3 linked regions of the Caenorhabditis elegans genome follow. The protein of the gene in region 1 interacts with the protein of each later gene in a biochemical or structural test. Each region holds a gene or a part of one and is shown in the gene's direction. Other genes may lie near its edges.

Region 1 (7,775 bases):
TTCCTGCCACGAAATGATGTAGCTATATATATGAAGTTTGGGTTTCCCTATAAATAAAATAGAAATATAGTGAAAACATAGTGGCAAATGATATTGAATATGCTATAGACTTGGTAGAACACATTGAGTAGTTTGATGACTCGGACGTGAATAAGTAATTTGAAAAAAATAGCTTCCGCTGACTAAGCCCCTTTTAGAATTGCACAGCATTCTTTCAGATTTTCAATAATTTAATAATTTAAAATGACGATTTCGTCTTGTTTTGCACTACTTGTAGTATTTATAGTGCTTCCCAAATATCTTGAAATGTGTAATTGAAAGCCTGCGGGTTTAATAGAAAATTAAGCAGCATTTTTCTTTTTTTGTAGATGCTTTTCAATTTTTTTGGATTTTGTGGAGATGTTATGTTCTTTAATATTTATTCAAAAAAGGAGACAACTGGTAAAGTTAAATTTTTGCATCAAAACTTTTCCGAATAGATCTGTGGTCTTTTTTGGTAAATTGCCGAGTTTTGGAAAATTATAAAATTACCAAAGTTATTAGAAAAATAGTCCAATACGAACAATTTTTTTGATTTTTCATGCCCCAATCCGGAGCCCACACAAATACTTTTGAACTACATAACCATTTCCTCAATTTCCCCACGTACAAGTGGTTGCAAATTGTGCATTTCCTTCTCCTCCGAGCAGAAGATTGTTTGGATGAGTTGTCTGGATTATTTTTGGATCAGGAGCAATTTTCTGTTTATTAAAGAAAAGCGCAGAAAATAACACGAAAAAAAAGGCTTGATTTCTTGGTTCTTATTTTGTGCATGTTTTAGCGAAATTGCAAAATGTTGACCGATCTGATTTTCATAATTAGGAAAATGTTAAGACTTACTTATCTTTAGTGATTTCCCGAGACCTACGGATTCGGATTTTATTTTTGCAAAAAAGGAAAGTAAAATGAATAATTTCAATAATTCATTTAACTGTCTTTAAAAAATTTGAGCACTTGTTCCAATATTAAAAGTGTTCTATCATTTGCGGGGTTCCCAAAAAATCCTGCTATTGTTTTTTGTGGGATTTAAACTTTTTCAGCTCTTCAAATCAATAGGCTATTGGTGCATATATTGTCTTCTGACGTTTTTTTTCAGTTTCTATATAAAATTTTTGTACTTCCTTCTAATTTGACAGAATAATTCTAAAATCACATATTTGAACTGTGGGCGCTGAATTTTTTTGAAGAGCATGAATTTGAACCCGCAGCGACGGGTCTTTATTTTACAATACAGACGTTTTCCAAAGTTTCCCGGTTTTCCCCGAATATTCCAAAAGTTTCTAGAGTTTCTAGAAGGTTCTCAACCTTTCCTAAATTTTCTAAAATAAATTCGAAAGCCAACATCTACGCAAGATAATTTTTCAGTCGAACTACGGTAGTTTTCAATCAACTTTATCTAAAAATAGCCGAAAACCCCCATTACCTCCTAGTTTGGTATTCCAAAAGATCAAACTTATTGGGGTAGTTGGACCCCCATCCATCTTTTGGCACGTTTCATTCCCGAAGTTCCGTCATAAATTCGATGTCCCCCTCCACCTAATCATTGATTCGTCATGCCTTGTCAGACAAAACCCACGTCTTCAGCTTTTTGGTCGTACCACAATTTTTTCTCCAATGATTCCATCATCATTCCTCATTCCCCAGCTCGTAAAGAACTCAATAAAACTGTCCTCTTCTTCCTCAACCCATTCCTACTTATTCTACATATATTCCAACTTCCAGTGTCCATTCCATTCTCCTTTTTTGTGCTGTCTCCTTATTCTGTTTCCTTTTTTCCCCTATTCAACATCATTCCAGTCACATTCATTTGATTGCGCACTAGGCTCCGCCTGCTCACGCCTTTCTTCGCAAATTCATATTTGGATCTCAATATTTCCGCAAAAAATTGGTAGGTTTTTTTTCGCTTTGACATCAATAGATCTAGTTGACGTGAAAAGCAAACTGGCAAAAATGTTCTTTGAAATTCATGAAATTTGACAAAAAGTTTTGGTCTAACAGCAGTATCTTGAGGCCACAATGGAGCATAACCAGAAAACGTGGTGTATCTGACTGTTTTTTTTTCTGGAAAATCTTCAATTTTTTCGAGGAACTTCTTGAAGATTGTTGTTGTTTGGTTTAGTCTACGTGACCATTTGTAGCTGCCATAGTTATTTTCATTTTTCGTTTCAGAAATCGGAAATTGGTTTTGCTTGAAAACTAGCGAAAAGTGGGCGTCAAACGATTATTACTAAACACATATTGTTGATTAACTTCTAGAGTTTTTATTGGAGTATTTGACGTTAGCCATTGCAACGTCATTCATACAAGTATTTATATAAGACAATGTACATTTTTTCGTTCATAATTTTCTTGAGGTATGTCTAGTGTCTAGTGTATCAAATTTCTAGATATGTATTGTGGATCTAAATTTAGGGTATCTCCAAAGAGTTATACAAGGTTGTTTTCCAAATTAGCACCTCTAAATAATCGAACCTACATGATTTGAAATTGCTTTAAAAAAATTTTTTGTTTGAAAATTTACCAGTTTTTCAAAACATTTACTAAACATTTATTCAATACAGTAATGCATTTCAAAGCTTTTTATGACTTGAAAAAGCTATAGAGTACATAAATCTAAGCCCAAAAAAAAAACCGCAGACTTGTTTTTTATAAATTTAAAAAATCTTGAATTCAAAACACGTGTTCAATTTTGGCTTCTTACATGTATTGTTTTTAATAAATGTTCCGATGAAATCTGCAAGCCGATTTACTAGACTTACAAGAATAATTTCTGACTATTCATTGTTAATCTATAATCTTCTTATCATGTTACATATTATCTAGTTAGTCATTTTCTTGTCTTGTTCTGTTTTCAATTTCACTCATTTGCTCTCATATTTCTTTTTCCTGAATTGAACCTTGGACGCTCAAAAGCTAATCGAAGAAAAATTGCCGAGATTCGGGAATTTTGATTGATGTTGTCGAATTAGTTGTTGCTTGTTCGAAAGTGACAACATCAGACAAAAACACACACGGATTTTGAATTATTACCTATCCATGTTCCTTTGATTTTCTATTAAATTGTCCTTTAAGGTTTCAAAAATGTTCGGAAAACGTAGGTGTAACCTGAAGAGTTAGGAGGAACGTCTATTTATGGTCCATCCAAAAATAGTTGTTGTTATTCAATTTGCGGCACCGAATCTTCAGATATTCGAAAGTTAAGAAAAACAAGAAGTTAGCTTTTAGGACTGAAAGACAGCTTCCTGCAAAAATGTTCTTCTTTTTATGGAAACTTGAGAGCCAAGTTCAAAAGATGAAAAGTTAAGTGGGCGTCTTATTTGTGTGGGCAAAAGAAACTGTAAATACATTTTTAGATTTAGTATATATGCAGGACTACTTTTCTTTCTTGTTATAGTTCTTGTATAGCATCGTCGTATGCACGCACGTCTTCAGGAGTATGTTTTGTATTCATGTTTTTACAACTTTGGCAGTAGTCATGACATATTTCCAAGGAACGTAGGTTACCTTGAAGGCAGGCAGAATATTTTCAGCATAACATGGAAGATTTAAGTTGTTGTTGAATTACGTAGACAACAAAATAACATTTTGAGAGTTCTTTCTTTGCTAATTGTATTTACGTCTCCTATAAAAATTGAGCATAGAATAAGATCATTCGTTCAGATTTTCATGCTTCTTGGATCGACTTATAAGTGTACCTTTATATTACGGGCTACAGTAAAATTTCCTTCTTTTTAATTCAAAATCTTCATTCAAACATCTAGCTGCTACACAACAGGGGTGTGAATCAAGGGCTCGAAAACTGGAAATGCCTGATAAATATTTTGCAAATTTTAATATTCCGATTTGGAAGTCGCGTAGTAAAATGGTTTTCAAGGAGCTTCGAGGTCTTCAAATGTTCTTTTTTTTTAGAATTTCAAGCTTTCACGCACTTGATTTACACTCCTGCTCCCTGACTCCATGACTGTTTGATGAGCTCTTTTGAACTTTAGTGGTTTCTGGCTTCTTCAATAGTCCAGACGTAATAAAAAGTGTCCTTCTTTAGAAAATTAAAAGTTGGAATACTTTCCTTAAAACTATGGGAGAAACTTCTCTTACTCTGAGAATTAAGAAACTGTTTATCACTATTTAAAATTCCAGTTGAAGCATCGTGATCACAAAACTCAGAGCTTTACCACAAATCCAGAAAACAGAAAAGAGTTCTTGAAAATTATAAAATCTTTACGTGGGAATCTGAATACGTAGAGAGCTCTGGAAATTTACTTCCAGATAGGAATTTCTATCATTACACCGGGAAAAATATATCAAAGAACCACCATATTTTTTTATAAAACTCTTCAAAATGTAGTACGTGACTGTAGCCCAACTACTCAATTAATTCCAATTGCGTCATTTTTCCAAAAAGGCATTTCTCAAAATTTTCTCAGGATTTTCCTTTTCAATCCATCATATTTTCCAATTATTCTCAGATCAAACCACGCACCATGACAATTTTTCCACATTTTCCAATCCAATTTTTAATCAAACTGATTCTGATAACTCATATCACACCTAATAAAGTAATTCTACACCACGAGTTTGTACGCACAAATCTACAAATTGTGACCAATATCCAGTGAATTTCTTAGTATTTTTGCATGCATTTTTAAGCACCTCCAACTGTTCTTCACATTTCTTATTATTCCGTTCTTTTTCTTTTTTCTCTGCTGGGACACATTTTCAGCGCCGTGTGACGTCATATAATTCATTGAAATTTTAGAGTTTCAATGTGGTATTAGAATTAAATGTATTTTTGCTGTACAAAGAATATTCATTTTCAAAATACTTATTAGGTTTCATTATGCCACACTACCTGACTGATCATCTGTTACAGTTACCTATGTGATGAGTTTTCGTGATAGAAAATCCGGAAAAAGACACGGATGTGATTTTTGACTATGCTTAATCCTGAGAGACATCCATTATCGCAAACAATAGAACCTAAAAGAAAAATTAGAGTTTAAGATAAATGTTAAGGTTATTCAAAAAATAGACTTTTGATCTTATTTGAAATGGCATGCGGAAGAAACTATGAATGAACGAAGTTTATGACAAAGATCTGAATCCTACGCAGTACGATAATTTTCCTGAACGAAAAACAGTAGAAAGCTTTCAAATGAAGAACATCCAAGCACATACTGTTCGCGTTATTTTACTTTGAAATGATCTCTAAAGGCCCCCAAAATGCTTACCTGCGTGCCTCTTGGACATTTTGTGATAGTTTCGATGATATGTATTTTTGTGCCTATGAATAGGCTAGGTGATAGATTTCCTTGTTTTAAGACAAACACTTCCAGCAAGCTTTTGAAACTAGACTAAACTTATCACAATTCTAATTTTATTCCTAAGATCGCATTGTCAATTCACTTTCCGAAGATCATCTCGTCCATTAAAAGATTATTCTTTTTCACAGTGTAACCTAAACCTTGATTCATTAAAACATGAAAATGTAAGCAATAGATTAATATTAATCCTAATCTTAGACTAAAGTCTGATATGTGTCGTAATAATACCCCTTTGGTATTTAGTTAAGGTTTTTTGAACTGAAGGTTTAAGTATAAATACCTAAGAAATCCACTCTTACAACATTAGTTTCAGCTTTTGAATTTGGCAAAGTGGTGAGTTCAACTTTTGACTCTGTCTTATTCATTAGAAGTTTTATTCTCCATTTTGAAAATCTATCAGCTTCTGAAATCTTATCAAAATCACTGAATTCCAGCAATTATGGAGATCAATTGACAATCTACATACATGAATAGGTAGGCATTTTTTGCCTACACTCAACAAAGTTTATGACCACGTTCGAGACAGTAAATAGGTGATTTACTAATTGAAGTTAACCCGTCACTACCGTAACCCTAGAGACCAATAGATATAGACACAAACTAAAAACCAAAGGATTATATTTCATTGAAAACCAAAACGTCTGTAATAATTTCTTTAGACACATAAAAGAAGCTCGACTAAAAAATATTAGTTATTTTAGAAGCTTAAGTCTATAATTAATCCCTTCCGAGGAGGTTAATGTGAGTTTGAAGTTTTAATAAGGATCTTTTATAAATTCGTATTGTTTACAAACTTATAATTTTTGATCCATCGGATAACAGAACATGGATTCAACGCATAATATCTGAAATTGACAAGTTTGAAAAATTTGGCTGGCTCTAAAGATTTAGTTCTGGTGTTTTTTCCAGCTATCCTTTAAGCTTCAGAAATTTGTTTGGAGAACCATTGATTTTTGTTTAAATTTCATAGAACTACTTCTAACGGACCACCAGCATAATTTTGAACCCTTGACGTCAGACCACACCCACATTTCCTTCTTTTCCAACAGAAATTATGCAAAATTTGAAAGTTCAAGAGACTTCACCACTCAAATGCTCATATCGGGTGTCCAATCAGCTCGTATAATGTTCAGAATAGTTCTCATGTTTCATTACTTATTATAAAAAAGGTCTTTCGGTCTTTCACTTCTTACGTGGGGGCTCAATGTCTTCCAGGAATCGGGCGCACCGGTCTTGATGTTCTCCGAGATATTTCTTTGCATTATTGATACGTTTTTTTAAATTTTCTTTCTTCTCTCTTTGACGTGCGTTTTTGTGTCATTGGATATTTAAATAAAATATTACGATTAGCCAATAAATAGTATTTACCGTATTTTTAATTAGTCCCAGGGTGAACAGTATAAGAGAATAATTGAAAACTTTTTAATCAACTCAATGATAATTTAGAATAATCCCGATCAATTTTCAATCTCCAACCTTTTCCGAAAACTATTCCACACGCCTCATTGCAGATGTTTTTTTTTGAGAATTGAACCAAAATGTCTAGATAACAAAAATCAGCTTGCACAGGAAATATTTAGCACGTCAAAGTTTTCAAAAATTACGTCAAAATGTTGAAGATGCGTCAGTTGAGAAACATTGGTGATTGAGTTTTTGAATAAAAGGCTTGAAGTTTGTGAAAACGGATGTGCGTTTTTGTTTTTTAGGAAACCTATCACTTTTAGACACCAGTGAAATGTTATTTCCTCTATTTTTGGAGAATTATTGAAGTACAATTGTTTCATGGTATTTTCCAACTGAACGTCAATTTTTTTTTAAACAGGTAAACCAGAAATGCCAAAAAAGCAACCAAAAAAAGTGTTCGAATTTCGTTTTCAGGCGAAACAAAAATTAAAAAATTTTGAGCTGGGTGCGGCCAAACTTTGGGCAATCCCGGTTTATTCACCCTTTGTTTAAGTTAATATTGATAAATTACTTGTCCTCTAATTTTTTAATCCAACCATTATCAACGTCACACTGACTCCACCCCTTTATCAATTGTTCTCCGTTTCTTTTAAAAGCACCTGCTCAACCTTTTCGTCGCATAATTTTCCGCTTCAAGCTCCCCCTTCCCCTTCTTCATTATTTCTGCAATTTTCAGACAACTACAGCGACATGAACGCCTTCTCCTCTTCCCTTAAAACATTCATCTTCTCCTTGCTTTTTGCCACGTTGCTTGCACTCACAGCAGCTCATCCACCGTCATCTGGTGAAGAAATTGCTGAGCAAGAAGAGAAGAATATTGCAAGTCCAGATGAACTTATTGTAAGATTTTTAAAAATTGAGAAAAGTTATAAAAATAAATGAATGTTTCAGCCGGAAATTGTCGAGCAGCAAAACTTCTGGCCACCAGTGCATCTTCGTGGATTACGGTAA
Region 2 (4,359 bases), on another chromosome or scaffold:
TTCAGTCAACCTTCCTTCATTTTGTAGGAGAATGACGGTGTACCGGATTCGAAAATTATTTATCTCAAGCTGCGTTCGTGTCTTTTTCAATTTTCTTTTTTTCTTTCTGCAACAATAAATTTGTCAGAATGTACTGCGAAAACCTTATATGACGGTAGACCGTGCCAGGGGAATATAAGTTCCCGAGACTAGACATTAATCATTTCTACGTACTGTTCTTGAATTTTGAACTCATTTAAGGTATGGAACTTTCTATACTCCAGAAATCTTTATATAATGCTCATGATTTAATAATTTATATAACGTCAAAAGGTTTTTCCTGATCTTTTTTCTGTTGCCTTCACCTCCGTTTCCTCACGTTTTCTTGTTCTTCTCCCTGCATAACTTTGAAAACAACACAGGTCTTTTGTTGCAGATGGAGAACATCATAGAACACAATGACAGCTTTTCAGCAATGAATGACACACTGATCTGTACATACTTCGAATGCTATATCCACATGTTTGCCATGGTGAGTTCAAAGCATTAAAATCTCGGGAGGTGGTTTTGATGACGCGTTGGAAATTTGGAAAAATTGCAAATTTGTGATAGAAGCCATAGGATCATTGTTTCAATTTTGATATTTGCCAAAGAACAGTTTAGGAAAAATTAATTGTTATCACTAATCGGAGAGCAAAATGTCTCAAGATATGAGATTAGATGTGTTGAAGCAACATTCTATTTTGAATATTCAAGAACATTGAACGTTTTTAAAGCACTTATAAACACTATTAATAGTAAAGTAACATCAGTGAAGAGGGGGGGGGGTTTGAATTTACAATCATGATAGTCTGACATGAACAAATATCATTGTGAAACACTCCAAACATTCTTAGATTTTTCAAAATATTCAGTAAAAGTTGTGGTGAATTACCAAGTTATCAAAAAGCATGGACGTTTTTTTTAAGCAACCTCAAAAGTTTGAACCCTTGAAATTTCAAATTGTATAATAGGACAAAAGTCACTGTCTAGACAAATTTACATCGAAAATATAATTTTCACTTGGTTTAAACACTTATGTGAAACTATCAAAGTTGGAGTATCATCAGTGGGAATATTATTTAATCACATTCATAATAGTCAAATATAATCGTGCAACACTTCAAAAATGCTCCGATTTTTCAAAAAATTTCAATCAAAGTTTTGGTAAATTGTCAAGTTTTCTAAAAGTTTGGACTGTTTGAGAAATTTCAAGCAACTCCGAATGTAAATTTTGGAAAATTTTGTCAAATTGGACTCGAAAAGTTTGCTATTATGATTTATTGTAGGGTACTCATGGGTTTTGTTACCCTCAAAATGTTTTAATTTTCTAAGTTACAATTAACCACAAAAACGTGAACTTTTTTGGAACGATTTGGAGAAACGAATGCTTTGTTCCGTACTTTTGTTTTTGTTTTTAATTTGAAAGGTGGAAAATTTAATTTTAGAAAATTAAAACATTTTGGGGGAACAAAACCTATCAGGACCTAATGTAGCGGCATATGAACAGTTTCAAACATTTTCCCCATTTTCGGAGTAGTGTCCCATTCCTCAAATGACCTAAATAATTCTGCAATTCTGCACGTGTACTTTGGGTGTTAGTTGCGTACGAGACTCTATTGGGAGCCGATCGTAAACCCGTTTTACGGCCTCACACTGCGAGTTAGTCTTTCAGAGACTCATCTATGTGTTTCTGACTGGGCACCAGTGAATCAGTATGGTGTCATTTGGGGGGACACGCGATGCACACAACTTGAAAAATAATTAGCTGATAGACAGGGGCACGCGCTACACAGTGGGCGGAACTTCCAACACTGATTTCACTAGATTTCCCCTTTCCCTCCCACTCCGTTTTGACTGGAACGAATATTTATTTTGTCGTCCAATTTTTCCTGCTATCTCGTTGTTAGAGATTGTCGCTGGGATAATCCGGTTGTGAATGGACGTTTGAAGCTTTTCCAGCATTTTGAACCGGAATCTTTTTTGCTTTCCCATATTTGCTTCCCTATTCGGGCTCGTTCCGAAACGTGAAAGAGTGAAAAAATGGGGAAATGGACGGAACTCGGATTGTCGGGTCGTGAAAATGCAACAAATGTCTCGTCGCGAGCCATAACTGACAAGTCCTTTTTGCAGTACTACGATGAAATTCATATTCCTCTTTCAATTTCTATCTGTATATTCGGAGCCGCTTCAAACGTCTTCAATATTATTGTGCTCACAAGGTAAGTTATATATTTCTTTATTTTTTACGGATGAATGTACCTGTTATTCCAGAAAACGGATGCGAACCCCAATAAACATCCTGCTCACAGGTCTCTCCATTGCACAATGGCTCCTAGCGACCAATTACTTCCTTTACTTATTGCTTGAGTATTATAGATATCAATGGTACGTCATGCATCAAATAAAAAAAACAATGTTCCAGTTTTTTGCAGTGTTCAATTATTATGGTCCGAAGCATTTACAAGATATAGATTCTTCAATGTCAACCTGAATACAGTATTTCATACAAGTAAGTATTTTTAGATTGGCAAGCATATTACTGTACTCAAATACTTTTCAGTTGCATTCACAACGACGATCGTTGTCGCAGTGTTTCGGTATTGTGCACTGAAGTTTCCAATTCAAGCGAATAGATTCATCTATAAATGCCAGCCAGCAATCGCAGCAAACGTTATCATTTGGATCATCATTCCTATCATCAGTCTTCCATTGTTTTTCATATCCGAGGTTTGTGTAGTTAATCTTCATATCTCGAATCTGATTTCATCTATGTTTCAGGTTAAAATTGTCGCTCGTGACCACGTTGCTTATGATTTGCAATGCGAAATGGAAGGTCCATTGTACGACCTCAGTTATCAAGAGAGTCCACTTCTCGTGTCCGCAGTTTTCTGGGCATTTGGTATTGTGTTCAAACTACTTCCGTCGTTAATTCTCTCAATACTACTCATTGCTCTTATAAGATCTTTGAAAAGCGTAGAACGAAGGCGTAAAAACTGGAAGCGTACACAAGGTGCCAACATTTGCACCAACTCCGAGAGAAAAGCAAAAAGAAAGTTGACGACCAGACCGCGCACAACACGAATGCTCGTCATCATTCTACTCCTATGTGTAATGGTTAGTCACTATTTAATGTCTGATCGTATGTGATTGCTGTATTGTTACGATTATTTATATTATTTTGTCTATGATTACCATGAAACGTATGTCTGATTCCAGGTAGAACTACCCATGGGTATTCTTAACTTGTGCGTGGCTATCTACGGTGAAGAGTTCGGAAATCGGTATTACGATCCAGTGGGAAATCTGATGGAAATGCTGACGCTGTTGTACAGCTCTGTTAGCTTCGTTCTCTATTGCACCATGTCCAATGAGTATCTCTCCACGTTCCGAGCACTATTCTTCCCATGGACCAGAAAGAATAGTTTAAGAGGAACTCGAAGTGAGTACTTTCAAACAAAATTGTAGGATGAATCATCTACTTGAGATAACTACATTTTACTCACAATTTTTTCTGACTAAAAAGTTCAATTCAAAATACAATTTTTCAGGAAGTTGGAATCATCGACATGACGACGAAACAAAGTCCCCACGAACTTTTCTGATAAATAGAACTGCGCCAAGCTCATATGTCGGGTCTTAATCTCCTTTGCGTAGTTATTCAATTCAACTATAATTCTTGATTTTTGTATTTATCCCGTTGTGAACTTCAATTCGTCTGAAAAATTTGAAAGTCACAAGTTTGAAAATGTGATTCTTGTTTATCTTGAAATCTTCCGAGAATGAATAAAACTTGTATTGTTTTACTAATATAGTGTGTTTTCTCTATTTGAACAGCTTTTAAAAGTTGGAAAACTGAAGTTTCAAAGTTAAAAATCAAAGTTATGAAAAAATAAGTGTTCAATGATTTTGTCTAATTGACTTTTTTTAAAGCAATTTTCTTTAGAATTTAAAAGTTTTCTAAAACCTTAAATATAATTTTTCAGCATACTTGTTAATTTTTTTAAATTCTAAATAGAAAAAATAGCATATTTATCTGCTACACTAACAAATTGAATCGCTTCTTAATCTATCAAAACAATAAAAATTGCAGTATTTTGAAGCGTTTGGTTTTTTTTTGTTGCAAAAAGTCTCAAGTGTTCATATCTTGACAGACAGTCTTAGCGGAATTTTTAAACGGAAAGAATAATATTTTCTGAACACCTTCAAAAGTATTCTCCTGTCAGTGAAGTTAATACGTAGACGTATAGCGATAAGAAGTTTTTGGGGTCACTTACGTAGACAATGAGTTACTACATCCCGGAATGCTTTTTTATGGGGTTATTCAAGTAGTGTCGAAAA
Region 3 (7,535 bases), on another chromosome or scaffold:
TATTTTACTTCAACTTACCGCAACAAAAAAACCGGATTGTCCGTCATCTATGCTCATTTCCCTAATTTCTCAGATAGTCCATAGATTTTTGCCCATATCCTTTACGTTATTCCTTTCATTTTGTGAACCATGACCGACGCGGTTCGATGACGATCTTTCGCGTGAGATACTGACTCCATGTTTGAGGGTTTCGTAGCTGAAAATGCTCTCAGTCTTCCCGAGACAACGTTTGCTCTCATTCATGATTCATTCGATATGTGAACTTTTTTCTACTTCCACTTTTAGTATTTATTCGTTTTAAATAAGTATGAAATGAATAATCCACCTCTTGCTTTTTTTGCAGTTCCTATAAGTTCACGAATGTATTTTTCATATCCATTTCCTTCATTTTCAATTTAATTCGATAATTATCGTTATAGTTTTTAAGACTATTTTTCCGTACACAACTTTGCACATAATGACTATCTGAGTCAAGCTCACTTTTCCGCTAAAATGAATACGCAAGAATATCAAGAGCTCACTTTTAGAACTTCGATATTTTTGTTTTTCTTAGAGTGAATACATCTTCCAAAAATACATCGAATGTTTTTTCCAAGAAAATGCTCGTTTGAACAACGAGTGTAAAAATATGTCCTTGAGCTATGAATTATGAAATATGTGAATGGTCAACTAGAGCTTGCCAAAAAATATGAATTTTTTCTTCAAAGTCTTCAATTTAAAGTATATATTTTATCCGGAAATTACAATGACATCATGTTAATTTTCTTTTTTTTTAAACTTTTTTTCATTTTGGTGAGTGAGTATATCTACAATTAGAATGAATAAGTTGATCAAAATCGTTTGAAAAAATTTTATCATTGTATTATTTTACATATAAAAGTTAAAAATACAAAGAATCCAATTTTCAAACTCTTTTTCTAAACAGAAACAAGTCTTTATCGCTCTTTGATTTTGGTTTGGGTACAATATCTCAGTAAAACCATACTTCTTTAACTAATCTTGTATTTTGACAAATCATATTTAAAGTGAGTTTTCGTAAATTATTATTCCCCGTAATTGGAACAGGTTTCAAATATCAAATAACATTTCTTCAATCATCATTGCTTATTCAAAGAACCTCCTTTGTTTTTGTGAAAGCTACGTGATGATACCAGCCGTTCACGACTTTTTGGCTTCCACTTCTCCGCTAACATATTCATTACTGACCATGCAGTCCCCTTTTTCTCAGTAGTTATTCACAAATTCTTGATACTATATATAGTCGAACATCATAAAAATGACTAGTAGTATATTTCAATTCTGCTTCGTCTTTTCATTGATGCCCTACTATTTACCAGAACTCACTTTTTTGAAGCCATTTTGTAAGGCATCAATAAAGTAAGACTAGTTAGTCTTGAAGATCCAACTGTTTTTTTGTTTTGAAAAGAAAGAAAAACTTAAGAAATTAGTGGATGGTTTTGTTCAAAATTTTCGAAAATAAGTGTATTTTCTCCTAGACTTTTTGAAAGTACGAGTAACAAAAACGTATCTTACTGAAATTGTCAACTATGTGTTTTTGTTTTAAATTTTCACTCTTATCTTAGTTTACTTTCTTTTTCTTAACAAACCAAAACTCTGATTTTGAAAAAAAGTTCTCATTTAATTATTCGCTCGAATAAACTAATTACAAGTTCATTTTTGTGTTAGTATGTATACCATAAATTTTACTTCCTACTTTCTCCGAAGTTTCATATATATTCGTTTTGTTTTACAAGTTTTATATTGAAGAATTTAGTCACCTAATACCATTTTCAAGGATGTATGTTAATCGTTAAATTTGAATAGACCCCTACGTCACTGCTTCTTTTTTTCAACTTTTGAACTTTGGTTGCTCCGTCTTCGCTTTTTTGTTTCGTTTCAACCAAAACTCAATTATCTCTTAGTTAGAGCCTTTTTTCTTTCTAAAACCAATTTTTATCGTGTTCCAGTGTGTGCCACACCACTTCGGCCTCTGGCTATGAACTCGACAGTTATTTCGCTTCTTAATAATTCTACACTGGTCACTACGGATCAGCCAGGTTTTTCTGGAAGTACAAAAGGAACATGCAGCTATCCAACTAATTTTGCGGAGGTCGATTACATTAGCACATATATTTACCTGCTTGCCATTCCAACAATTTGCGTGCTGGGAGCCGGCGCTGCGGTAATGTGCATTGTGGTGTTCACTAGGAAACAAATGAGGTTCGTTTTATTGAAGAGTACTTGTGAGAGTATATCTAGAAAGGACTGAATTCGAATTACCTATCCACTTCACTTTTTAAGTTAGAAAATATAAGAGACGCAAAGAAAATCTGTTCCCCGCAACGAAAAGACTTCGAACGTTTTGAGAAAGGACGACGAAGTCACGTGGCTTACGGAAACGTGTACGAGGGAAACTTTTTCATTTTTCTGCGTCTATATCTTCTAACAAACACAGTAACGTGGATAGGTAATATGTTTAATCATTATTTCTAAAAAAATGAATATGTGATGCGTGTATATCTGTACCCCAAATGGTTCACAGGAAAATAATAATTTTTATATGAAAAAAAAACGATAGCAGTTTTTTTTTTCACAAATTATGTTTCTGCCTTTTTTGTCGAATAAAGAAGGAGTCTTGTCCAACAAGTAAATCAAAAATAAAGTTAGGGAAACACCAAATGTTTTTCCCTGATAAAAATACGCTATTTAGTTCTAAAAATAAATATTTATTAGCCTATATATTTATAAAAATTTACCTCACATTAGTCAAAAACGAGCTATAGCTTTAGGCTGCTATTCATTTCAAAAAATGATCAAAAACTATTCAAATAAATCTTTCAATTTGTTCTTGCTGCACAATTCAATTGAAACAGTGATTTCAAATTTTCTTGGCCCTTAATAAACATTTTAATTCATGTACAACTGACGACATTTTTATGATTTTTTTTGATTGTATTAATCTTTTTGAAAAATTAATGACATCAAATTGTTCCCCATTTATTTAGTTTTAATTTTCTTTGGTAGTCTGTTCAAATACTCATTTCAAGAAAAAAGAGCAAATAAGGATACATAGAAATACAAAATATTTTTAACTTCAGATCATCACTCAACGTATATCTTGCCGGATTATCGGTTTTCGATCTTATCCTGCTTTCATTCAGTGCTCTGATCTTTTCACCTCTCCAAGGTTGCGTTTTGCAGGTGAGCGTAGATAACTGGTTGATATTCAGTGGAATTTGTAATGAGATGAAGAAATGTCCATCAATTTATTCATCGATAAGCTCATAGCACGGAAAGAGAAATGAAAAAAGTTATTTATGATATTGAAGAGGGATTTAATATTTCTCAAAACTTCGAGTTTCATCAAGGTCTGAAATAATTTTCTAATGTCTTAGAAACTGCGTATAATTTATGTTTCCAGAAATATGAATGTTTCAGAACACCACTAAAAACAACTATGTTAGCAATAATTCAAATAAACTATTCAGGGTCACGGGGACACCGCGGTTTGTCATTTCTTCTGGAGATCAACTCCTTGGACGTTACCCATATCAAATATCGCACAATGTGGTAGTGTCTGGACATGTGTTGCAGTGACGGTGGATCGATTTCTTGCTGTTAACTATCCGCTTCATAGCAAAATTTGGTGCACACCGCGCCGAGCAACAACAATACTTATTGCGATTACGGTTTTTAGCATATTGTTCAAAGTAAGTACAAGAATTGTCAATTTTTTATTTTGTATTTCGAAATACACACAACGTTTTAAAGTTTCGTATCCTGACTATTATGGTCTAAAGTAATGTTTTTATAATATATCAAATTTGCATATTACGGAAGTCTGTTGCTACGATAATTGTAGTTTAAAGGTTTTTTAAAATAAAATTTCTTGTGAAAACAAACATCAATGCTATTAGAGTTTGTGACCCCAGTTTTAAAATCATTCAAGCATTCAGAATATTAAACATGTCAGCACACTGTTCATTGATAATAAGTTGATCACTGTGTGAAAATGTTCAATTTTATTTTAGAATTTTTAAAATATACATTTGCGTGTGTATATCAAAACACAAGAGCTACTGACTTTGATTTCTAAGACACCGGGGAAAACATGAAAGTTGAAAAAAAATTAATTCGTAATTTACATTATCACAAAATTAAAAATTCTGTGGAGGAAAAGCAGATGAGCTTGAAATTCCAGTATTTATAATATTTAATATTAACTCGAAAATCGCTGTTTTTTATAAATTATTTTCCATCAGATTGTAATTTTACAAATTGAAAAAAAGTACACTCAAAAACACTAGAAAACTTACAATACGCTTTTTAGGTTCCCCTAGTTTCAATGAATAACTTAGAGATTTTTCAATATTTAGCAGTGCTGTGCGGCCCTTGAAAAAAGTCGGCTCTCGGCGCAAGCCGCACAGCACTGATATTTAGCTCAAAATTTAATTTAAAAAAAATGAGTTAGGTACAATTATACAAAATCCCTACCTTTTTTCATCTTGTTTTAATTTTACGGCCAACTTGAACCACGCAAAACTTTTAGGTTGTGAATACAACATTGGTAGTTTCTTTTTTTGTGTTATTTTCTGATTCAAAAGACTATATGGATTGTTATTCTAAATGTTCTAAATTAATGTACTACTTTGCAAACTGAGGAACATCGTAATAAGTTTAGTAGGCGACTATCCGTGATACAAGTCATCTTCAGGCACCAATGTTCTTCGAGTTGACCAACGATGACTGTGGTCGACTGAGAACCTCATTTCTGCGGGATAATAAGTACTACAAAGAGTACTACGTAACATTTGGGTACCTCATCGCGCTGTTATTGATTCCATGGACAGTAATGATTATACTGAATGTGTTTGTGGTAAAGGCTGTACACAAGGCGTATAAGATTCGGAGGTCTATGCAAGGAGGAAAAAATAATCAAGAAGAAAAAGATCGGAGGTGTGGTTTTATCATTTTTATTTTTAATTATTTTTTAAACTTTGGTTTCACCAGTTTTTTGATGTTAAGTTCGGTTCTCTAGTTTCTTAAAAATTTTCAAATACATCGATTTACATTTTTTAATGATTATTTATTTTTCTTATTTCAAGCATGGACTGCTAACGTTTATTACAAGAACCGAACCAGCTTTTTTGATTTTTGCATGTTTTTGTTATTTTTTATTATCTGAAAACAACTATCGCTCAGAACTTTTCTCCCTCTTTTTTTTCGATTCGACAAAATTCAAAAACAGTAGAAAACAGTTTGTCTCCCAAGTTCAGAAACAGTCTCAGATGCACTCTTATGGCCATCGCTATGGTGCTCACTTTCTTGATCTTCAACGTAGTAGCAGCAGTGAACAACTTGGCTGAGACGGTGTTCGAAGTGAGCTTAGGATTTTGGAGTCCCATTGGAAATTTGCTAATTTGTTTAAACAGGTAAGAAGTTTTAGTAATTATAACGTGTTAGAAGCTGTGTGCTCGAAAAACTTTAGAATCGGTTTCTACATGAAAGTGGCAGAGAGCACATTAGTATGGAAAAAGAAACTTTTCCGGGTTACTTTTTGGGTTCAATCTGTCTTTTCGAAATGTTTTCCAAATATTGCCATGATTTTAAGATGCTTTGAAACACTGAAAATGACCCTAAGTAATTTCAAAAAAATTTTCAAAGAAGTCTGAATCAAGTTCGGTGAAATAAATCATTCAATCTAAAAGTTTAAAATCCTCAACATCAACGCAAACTTTTGAAAATGAACAAGTAAACATTTTATACCAAACACCACCTTCCAATTTTATATCACAGAGGTTATAAAATTGGAAGTGCATGATGCTGAATCGTTTTTCAAATAGAGTTATTGAATGAAAAATAAATGAACTTAAGCCCTAGTGTGGCAAGGTTTTTGAATTGTATGTATGAACAAATAACCTTTAGCGCTTCCAACATCGTGATCTACTCGTTATTCGGAGCCCGATTTCGTCAAATGTGTGTCCTCATGCTTTGCGGGCGACAAAGTCGATGGATGGAGTGGCTCAAAGTTGGAAGGTACCCACCTCAGTAATTCTATCACTGCATTGTTCAAATTTTCTAAAAATTGTCATTCAGGAGCATGGTCAGTGATTGGGATGGTAGAGATGGTACGACGAGGAAAACTAGTTTGGACGCCAGTACTGCTCTGTTAAGTGCGAGGGTAAGCTTTAAAAAAAGTAAATCGGTACATTCATTATTAATTATTCTTCTTTAATGAACATTCTCGATTAATTGAAAACAATTTCATATTTCTTTACTATGCTTTTGCTTTTTGGTATACTGCTTTGTAAATTGTTTTCAAAAGAACCATTACAGCGAATGACGATTTCGAATTTCATAACCTACCCGGTGGTAAGTTTTGTGTGGAAAATAGAAATAATATTGTCTAGAAACGCATTTAGTTCGTGTGCAGTTTCATTTTCTCCCCGGACTGATTTGCATGTACCTTACCCATTTTCCCCAATATACTTAATCTCCAACCTCTTAGAGTTTTTATTTGATTTATTTTTTGATTTCTTGATAATATTGGTTCTAACATAATTTGTTCTGATTGGAAACTGGGGTTAATGCGTTTTAAATAGAGTAGTTTATAAATTTGAAGCAAATTTTTTTAATATGATAACTGTGGAAAGCGGACAAAATTTTTTAAACAAGTTTCACAGTTTAATTATCTTTCCATCAATAATATTTAAACAATATAGCTGTTTCGTTACTGTTTTGGTAATTTGTTAATTTACCGAAAGTTTGACGTTCATATTTGAAACATCCATTTTTTCTTTAGTAATTAACTATAATACTCAAACATACAGTATGTAAAATAAAGTTTCCATAAAGTTTCAAAAATTTGTGTTTCAGAGTTCTCGCCGATGGAGTAAACGGAGTCAAAGTGGTGCACCACATCAAGCAGCTCCTGCTCGAAAAGATACAGTAATCTACACAAGTGCTCAAAACAGACTTTCGCTTCAAAGCGCACCTTCATAACGGAAAACACGTCAAACCTTTATCATGTTTCTGTATATATCTTTACTGCACATCTTCATGGATTTTGTTAATTTGAGCATTTTTTCGATACCATGTATTATTTGATAAGAACTGCAATATCATTATGAATTGAACGCTTCATTTCTGTTTTGTTTTTTTTTGTTTCGTTTCTAATATTTATTTTTCACCTGCCTGCCATAATCAAAAGTTACTAGTTACAAATTGTCTAGTCTAAAAGTAGTACTGGTCATCTCCCTCCAAAATCATCCCGATTCTTGCGATCTCTTTTGTATTCATTTTCTTGGGTTGCTAACATTTGACCAATTCATTTCAGCTTGGCTAGTTTTACTTAAGTGTCACTAAAAATTGCTCGGAAAATTGTTAATTGAGTCCAAGTTTGATTATTTCAGACTTATATAGTTTTATATTTTCTCCGCAATTTTTGAATTCACGTTTTTGGATGATAATGCTCAAGATTTCATTGTGAAATACAGCAATGGTCCAATAAAGTAAATTTCTCGTATATTTAAAAA

The links. The genes of interacting proteins can lie anywhere in the genome.
Region 2: the proteins of flp-4 (region 1) and egl-6 interact in a test that uses a peptide from one of them, tested with the Caenorhabditis elegans proteins (one large-scale study listed by BioGRID).
Region 3: the proteins of flp-4 (region 1) and frpr-8 interact in a test that uses a peptide from one of them, tested with the Caenorhabditis elegans proteins (one large-scale study listed by BioGRID).

Annotation. Positions count from the first base shown.
Region 1 is NC_003280.10:10,047,125-10,054,899, forward strand, and holds the start of flp-4 (FMRF-Like Peptide), read left to right. Parts: upstream 1-1,743; 5' UTR 1,744-1,927; intron 1,928-7,500; 5' UTR 7,501-7,514; coding exon 7,515-7,664; intron 7,665-7,715; coding exon 7,716-7,771; intron 7,772-7,775.
Region 2 is NC_003284.9:5,930,707-5,935,065, forward strand, and holds egl-6 (G-protein coupled receptors family 1 profile domain-containing protein), read left to right. Parts: upstream 1-1,879; 5' UTR 1,880-2,061; coding exon 2,062-2,240; intron 2,241-2,292; coding exon 2,293-2,406; intron 2,407-2,453; coding exon 2,454-2,530; intron 2,531-2,581; coding exon 2,582-2,748; intron 2,749-2,799; coding exon 2,800-3,135; intron 3,136-3,237; coding exon 3,238-3,460; intron 3,461-3,569; coding exon 3,570-3,661; 3' UTR 3,662-3,826; downstream 3,827-4,359.
Region 3 is NC_003284.9:8,695,821-8,703,355, forward strand, and holds frpr-8 (G-protein coupled receptors family 1 profile domain-containing protein), read left to right. Parts: upstream 1-1,996; coding exon 1,997-2,220; intron 2,221-3,098; coding exon 3,099-3,201; intron 3,202-3,488; coding exon 3,489-3,710; intron 3,711-4,714; coding exon 4,715-4,956; intron 4,957-5,288; coding exon 5,289-5,432; intron 5,433-5,925; coding exon 5,926-6,048; intron 6,049-6,096; coding exon 6,097-6,181; intron 6,182-6,336; coding exon 6,337-6,372; intron 6,373-6,876; coding exon 6,877-7,002; downstream 7,003-7,535.